Anolis sagrei: one gene and its partner. The protein of the gene in region 1 interacts with the protein of each later gene in a biochemical or structural test. Links are inferred from orthologs where the notes say so. Each region holds a gene or a part of one and is shown on either strand. Other genes may lie near its edges.

Evidence for each region.
Region 2: the proteins of STAM (region 1) and ARRB1 form a complex in vitro, tested with the Homo sapiens proteins (2 studies listed by BioGRID). The link is inferred for Anolis sagrei from reciprocal best matches to the Homo sapiens genes STAM and ARRB1.

Annotation. Positions count from the first base shown.
Region 1 is NC_090026.1:106,026,706-106,030,635, reverse strand, and holds the start of STAM (signal transducing adapter molecule 1), read right to left. Parts: upstream 2,536-3,930; 5' UTR 2,353-2,535; coding exon 2,313-2,352; intron 1-2,312. UniProt on the Homo sapiens protein: Involved in intracellular signal transduction mediated by cytokines and growth factors. Upon IL-2 and GM-CSL stimulation, it plays a role in signaling leading to DNA synthesis and MYC induction. May also play a role in T-cell development.
Region 2 is NC_090023.1:3,235,987-3,239,916, forward strand, and holds the start of ARRB1 (beta-arrestin-1), read left to right. Parts: upstream 1-1,538; 5' UTR 1,539-1,807; coding exon 1,808-1,884; intron 1,885-3,930. UniProt on the Homo sapiens protein: Functions in regulating agonist-mediated G-protein coupled receptor (GPCR) signaling by mediating both receptor desensitization and resensitization processes.

The DNA of each region.
Region 1 (3,930 bases):
ATTGTCGTACCCACTTACACACTTTGCTTTCACTCATAACAGTATCACCGTACACTTCACAAATCTGTCAATGGATTTCTGCAGCAGGAAGGTTCCTTGCTGACAAAAACCGTATCACTGAGCGAACCTCACATGCGGAGGGTGAGTTGATAGTCTTAAACATTTTTAAAGCACAGAACAGAACCATACAGGCTAGCTACTGAGCACAGTTGTTCCCGAGGCATGCGGTATGCGCTCGTTGCGGTATGCGTGCAAACTACTAGTGTCTACAACAAAACGGACCTTACTTAAAAAATACTCCTTGTAGATTATTGTTGTTGGCATTGAATGAATGCCTGTTGTGAAGCCACCCCGAGTCCCCCACTGGGGGTGAGAACCCTGAACGGTTTGGGACCACCCTACCTGCGTGACCGTATCGCTGTCTACGAACCCACACGCTCACTCCGGTCATCTGGAGAGGCCCTGCTCGTGATCCCGCCCGTGTCACAAGCATGCTTGGTGGGGACGCGAGACAGGGCCTTTTCTGTGGTGGCCCCCCGACTCTGGAACGCCCTCCCGAAAGATCTCAGACAAGCCCCTACATTGGCAGTCTTCAGGAAGGAATTGAAAACCTGGCTGTTCCGATGTGCCTTTTCAGATTAGGAACTTCCAGCACCAAATCCTAGAAGCATCTTAGTAGAACCAAGATCACTGCACACTGCACACCGCACTTATATTTAATCCCACATCAGCACTTTTAACCCTGTACCCCTACTTCGGCCGGCCCAGTTTTAATAGTTTCTTGTTGTATTGTTACTGTTATTGTTTTCCTGCTTAACTGTTTTTAATTTGCTTTGGGTATTGTATTGTTGTACTGTGTTTTTGGGGCTTCGGCCTGTGTAAGCCGCATCGAATCCCTTGGGAGATGCTAGTAGGGTATAAATAAAGTTATAATATAATAATAATAATAATAATAATAATAATAATAAGGATGGGATACAAATATACACTCCCCTTGAAGGCGCAGGTTCGCAGCTTGGGTGTGACCCTGGACTCGTCGCTGAGCCTGGATCCCCAGGTTTCAGCGGTGACCAGGGGAGCATTTGCACAGCTTAGACTCGTGCGCCAGCTGCGCCCGTATCTTGGGAAGTCTGACTTGGCCACGGTGGTACACGCTTTGGTCACATCCCGCCTCGACTACTGCAATGCTCTCTACGTGGGGCTGCCCTTGAAGACGGCCCGGAAGCTTCAGCTAGTCCAGCGCGCGGCAGCCATGTTGTTAACAGGAGCAGGGCGCAGGGAGCATACAACGCCCCTGCTGTCCCAGCTCCACTGGCTGCCGATTTGCTACCGGGCCCAATTTAAGGTGCTGGTGTTATCCTACAAAGCCCTAAACGGTTCCGGCCCAAAATACCTTGCAGACCGCATCTCGGCCTACGAGCCCACGAGGACCTTGAGATCATCCGGGGAGGCCCTTCTCTCGGTCCCGCCTGCCTCACAGGCACGCCTGGCGGGGACGAGAGAGCGGGCCTTCTCGGTGGTGGCCCCCCGGCTGTGGAACACCCTCCCTGCTGAAGTTAGACAGGCGCCCTCCCTTATGGCCTTTCGTAGGAGCCTGAAAACATGGCTCTTCGAGCTGGCCTTCAACTGAGTGCCATATCATTGGAAATGACGACCGGAATGGACTATGACTATGAAATCGACTATGACCCCAGGATATGACGAAGCAGATTTTTAGCATAAGTATAAGTTATGTAGTAGTAGATTGTTGTGTACTGTCTTGATTTATTGTAAACTGTCCTTTCTATGTTGTTGTTCACCGCCACGAGTCGCCCTAGGGCTGAGAGTGGCGGTCAATAAGTGCAAGAAATAAATAAATAGATAAATAATAAATAAATTAAATTTAAAAAGCGAGTCCACGCTGCCAGGTAATCTGGGATAAGCAGAAAAGCTGGGATCAGATCCTGGGGTATAGGCCCTGTCTGGAAGGGCCCTCAGAATCAAAGGTGTCACTATCTCAACCAATTTTGGAATGTTTCAGGATTTGGGATGAAGATAGCTCAACCTGTAATGTAAATACAGTAGACCTTATGGCAAAACCTAAAGAAATCTTTCTGAACAGCTGGATTGTGGTAGAATCTTAAATGTAGACTTATATAATATCTATGTCTTCACCACTCACAAGCTGCCATTCTTAAAAGTTCTGGTTTGAGATAATTTCAATAAAAAAAACCTAAGTGTTGAAAAATAAAAGGCGAGGGAGAAGCGGAGCTGGGTAGGGCCCAGCCTGGGTTGGGGTGCCTCTGTGGCCTGCCTGCCTGCCTTCTACTCACCCACGTCCTGGTCGAAGGGGTTCGTCGTGAAGAGCGGCATCTTCTCGAGAGGGGAGAAGGGAATGCAGCGGCCGAGGGAAGCAGGCTCCGTCCGGCCGCCCCTCCGGCCCTGGGGCGAGGAAGGAGGGGAGGACAACCAACGGCAACAAACGCCTCCGCGGAGCGACTGAGGGCGCGAGGCCCCAAGGCGGCTCAAGCTCCGCCCCCAAACGGCCCCCTCCCTCCGTCCCTCCCTTGCTCGCGCTCCTTCGCCTCCCTCTCTCTCAGCAAAGCCAGAGCCGCCTCGAAAACCGGCCTCGCGCTGCATGCCGGGAGAAAAGGAAGTAAAAGGTATTGTCGAAGGCTTTCATGGCCGGAATCACTCAGTTCTTGTGGGTTTTTTCGGGCTATATGGCCATGTTCTAGAGGCATTTCTCCTGACGTTTCGCCTGCATCTATGGCAGGCATCCTCAGAGGTAGAGGTCTGTTGGAATTAGGACAATGGGTTTATATATCTGTGGAATGGCTGGGGTGGGGCAAGGAGCTCTTCCCTGCTGCAGTTAGGTGTGAAGTTTAGCTAATCACCTTCATTAGCATTTGAAGGCCTGCCTGAACCTGGGAAAATCTGTTGCTGGGAGGTGTTAATCTGTGCCTGGTTTCTTCCTCTCTGTTGTTTAGCTGTTATAATTTTAGAGTTCTTTAATACTGGTAGCCAGATTTTGTTCATTTTCATGGTCTCTTCCTTTCTGTTGAAATTGTCCACATGCTTGTGGATTTCAATGGCTTCTCTGTGTAGTCTGACATGGTGGTTGTTTGTGTGGTCCAGCATTTCTGTGTTCTCAAATAATATGCTGTGTCCAGGCTGGTTCATCAGGTGCTCTGCTATGGCTGACTTCTCTGGTTGAAGTAGTCTGCAGTGCCTTTCATGTTCCTTGATGCGTGTCTGGGCGCTGCGTTTGGTGGTCCCTATGTAGACTTGTCCACAGCTGCATGGTATCCGGTAGACTCCTGCAGAGGTGAGAGGATCCCTCTTGTCTGATGAACCAGCCTGGACACAGCATATTATTTGAGAACACAGAAATGCTGGACCACACAAACAACCACCATGTCAGACTACACAGAGAAGCCATTGAAATCCACAAGCATGTGGACAATTTCAACAGAAAGGAAGAGACCATGAAAATGAACAAAATCTGGCTACCAGTATTAAAGAACTCTAAAATTATAACAGCTAAACAACAGAGAGGAAGAAACCAGGCACAGATTAACACCTCCCAGCAACAGATTTTCCCAGGTTCAGGCAGGCCTTCAAATGCTAATGAAGGTGATTAGCTAAACTTCACACCTAACTGCAGCAGGGAAGAGCTCCTTGCCCCACCCCAGCCATTCCACAGATATATAAACCCATTGTCCTAATTCCAACAGACCTCTACCTCTGAGGATGCCTGCCATAGATGCAGGCGAAACGTCAGGAGAAATGCCTCTAGAACATGGCCATATAGCCCGAAAAAACCCACAAGAACGAAGTAAAAGGTGTCCAGCGCACTGCCTGATAAGAAAAGGCAAGTACATTTATCCTCAACGTTGCGATCCGGGAAATGAGACTTTTCTAAATTTCCTGCCTGCATTCCGATGCTTT
Region 2 (3,930 bases), on another chromosome or scaffold:
ATACAAATATACATATATACACACATATACATATACACATGTGTACATTCATACACACACATATGCACAAGCACATACAAATATACGCATATACACACATACACACATATATACATATGCACACATTCATACACAGACACATATATGCACAAGCACATACAAATATATACACATATATACACACATATATGTATGCACATGCACATACAAATATACATATATACACACATACATATACACATGCACACATTCATACACACACATATGCACAAGCACATACAAATATACACATATATACACACATATACATATACACATGCACACATATACATATACACATGCACATGCACATGCGCACATATATGCACAAGCACATACAAATATACACATATATACACACATATGCACACATTCATACACACATTCATGCACAAGCACATACAAATATACACACATATATACATATGCACATGCACATACAAATATACATATATAAACACATATACATATACACATGTGCACATTCATACACACACATATATACACACATATATACATATGTACATGTACTTACAAATATACATATATAAACACATATACATATACACATGTGCACAAGCACATACAAATATACACACATATATACACACATACACACATATATACATATGCACACATTCATACACACGCACATATATGCACAAGAACATACAAATATACACACATATATACACACACATACACACATATATACATATGCACAGGCACACACAAATATACATATATACACACATATACATATACACATGCACACATACATGCACACATGTGTATATGCATATACACATGCACACAAATATATACATACACATATATACACACAAATATGCATATAGACAAGCACACAAATACACAATATGCATATACATATATAAACAAATAAACACACAAATACACAAATATGCACACACATGTATACACCCACACACACATATATATGCAAACACACATATATACACAAATATATAAGCACACATTACTTCCTTAGGTGACCTCTCGTTCGAGTAGGATGCATATACATATATAAACCAATAAACACACAAATATAAATACACAAATATACACACACATATATACACCCACACACACATATATATGCAGACACAAATATATACACACACATTACTTACTTAGGTGACCCCTCGTTGTTCGAGTAGGATAATCCTCCAGGGTGGGTCCATAACACATACACACACAAAATACATATATACAGACTGGGCCACAGCAATGCATGGCAGGGGGTGGCTAGTGTGTGTGTGTATATATATATATATCTGTATACAGAGAAAAACAAATTACCTGTGAGACACAGTGTGGGAAAGGAGAGGATGCGCTGCAGACAATGGACCTGCAAGGAAACCTGGCAAGGAGATGCAAGGCGTGTGCTGATTCCGTGATGCGTCCACCATCGCCTTTCCGTTTGGAGCATTGGGATGCGTCCTTGGCAAGGGCTGGGCTGCTGTGTTTTACGGGAAGCATCTGGACCGCGCATCGCAGCCGGGCTTCCTTTGCGCTGCCTTCCTGGGATGCTCAGGAAGCCCTTTTTGGAGCAAAGACAGCCGCTGCAACACACGGCTTGTGCGCTCCATGCTGCCGCAGCAGAGAGAGGGCTGGGCTGGCGCACGGCGTGTGATGCCGGCACAGGAACAATCGTGCCAGGCACAGGGTTGCGCCTGGTCCAGCCGAGCGAGGTTCAGCCTTCTTCCCTGCCTTCCCTGTCTCGACTCGTTTGCTGGCCCCTTCTGCCATGAAAGGGGCCCATGGGGGATCCAGAGGTCTCGACGGGGGCCCCACAAACAGAGCCACAGAAGAGGTCATGAAGCGGTAAGCAAGGGGTAGCATGGGCACATGGGTGAGCATCTCTCCAGAGGCTCAAATCTCTTGCAATGGCACAAATGGGTCCACTGTATCCATCTAGTGCAGACATGGGCCAACTTGGCCCCTCTAGGTGTTTTGGTATGTGGGGATCTGTTTGTGGGGAATTGCAAAGGATTCATGCCATAGGACCCCTGAGCATGACACAATGATGTCAAACTGCCTGAACTTCCTTTGTCTGCGGCGCATCTGAACATTAGGAAGAACTCTCTGACTGTGAGAGCCGTTCAGCAGTGGAACTCTCTGCCCCGGAGTGTGGTGGAGGCTCCTTCTTTGGAGGCTTTTAAGCAGAGGCTGGATGGCCATCTGTCAGGGGTGATTTGAATGCAATATTCCTGCTTCTTGGCAGAATGGGGTTGGACTGGATGGCCCATGAGGTCTCTTCCAACTCTTTGATTCTATGATTCTACGTTCTATGAACTCTACGAGGGAGATCAGGCACAGGCAAATTCATCCCTCCGGGCATTTTGGACTTCGACACCCACAATCCCTAGCAGCCGGCTATTAGGAATTGTGGATGCTGAAGTCCAAAATGCCCGGAGGGATGACATTTGCCCATGCCTGTGATAGATGCACGTCTTAGGTTCATGGAGGATCTCGAAAGCACTCTGCACATGCTCTGCTATGTTTCGGTGACCAGGTGCCAAACTACAAACCCCATGATCCTAAAGGACAGGCCTGAGCAAACTTGGGCCCTTGAGCGCTCCAGCTGGAGGTCAGCTGTGACCAGCAGTGCTGCAGAAGGAGGGCAAAAGAGATAAATGTGCCAAGAGGAAGGCGCGTCAAGCCAACCCCGACTTGGGCCCTCCAGGTGTTTTGGACTTCAACTCCCACAATTCCCAACAGCCTCAGCCCCCATCCTTTCCCCCTTCATGGGCCAACTTGGGCCCTCCAGGTCTTTATGGACTACAACTCCCACAATTCCTAACAGCCTCAGCCCCCATCCTTTCCCCCTTCATGGGCCAACTTGGGCCCTCCAGGTCTTTTGGACTACAACTCTCACAATTCCTAACAGCCTCAGGCCCCATCCTTTCCCCCTTAATGGGCCAACTTGGGCCCTCCAGGTCTTTATGGACTTCAACTCCCACCATTCCTAACAGCCTCAGGCCCCATCCTTTCCCTCTTCATGGTCCAACTTGGGCCCTCCAGGTGTTTTGGACTTCAACTCCCACAATTCCTAACAGCCTCAGGCCCTTTCCTTTCCTTGCTTAAGCGGCTGAGGGGGAAAGGATGGGGCCTGAGGCTGTTAGGAATGGTGGGAGTTGAAGTCTAAAACACCTGGAGGGCCAAAGTTGGCCCATGAAGGGGGAAAGAATGGGGCCTCAGGCTGATTTTACCAAGCTGGTTTGGTGCTTAAGGTCAGAGGTGTTCCTGCTCTGGTGTATGACAGCATCCTGGGAGTTGTAGCTTTACAAGGTGTTGAACCTTCCCCGCTGGGGCCTCACCAAACTACAAATCCCATCATGCTATCGCATTGAGGCATTGAGGCATGGTATCCATCCAAATGCTGGAAGCAGGGTTTCTCCAGATGAGGAGGTCTGATCAAAGCAGAATTGAGTTGGAACTATGACCTCCCTTGGTCTAGACCAGGCATGGGCTAACTTCAGCCCTCTTCTTGCTATTGCTATGCTATGGACCTTGGGAGATGTAGTTTGGTGAAGAAACAGCACTCTTTGGAAGAGAAGATTTAAGTCTTTGCAAAACTACGACTCCCATATTCCATAGAATAGACTCATAGAACCCTAGAGTTGGAAGAGACCTCCTGGGCCATCCAGTCCAACCCCATTCTGCCTAGAAGCAGGAAAATTGCATTCAAAGCACCCCCAACAGATGGCCATCCAGCCTCTGTTTAAAAGCCTCCAAAGAAGGAGCCTCCACCACACTCCGGGGCAGAGAGTTCCACTGCTGAACAGCTCTCACAGTCAGGAAGTTCTTCCTAATGTTCAGATGGAATCTCCTCTCTTGTAGTTTGAAGCCATTGTTCCCTTGCGTCCT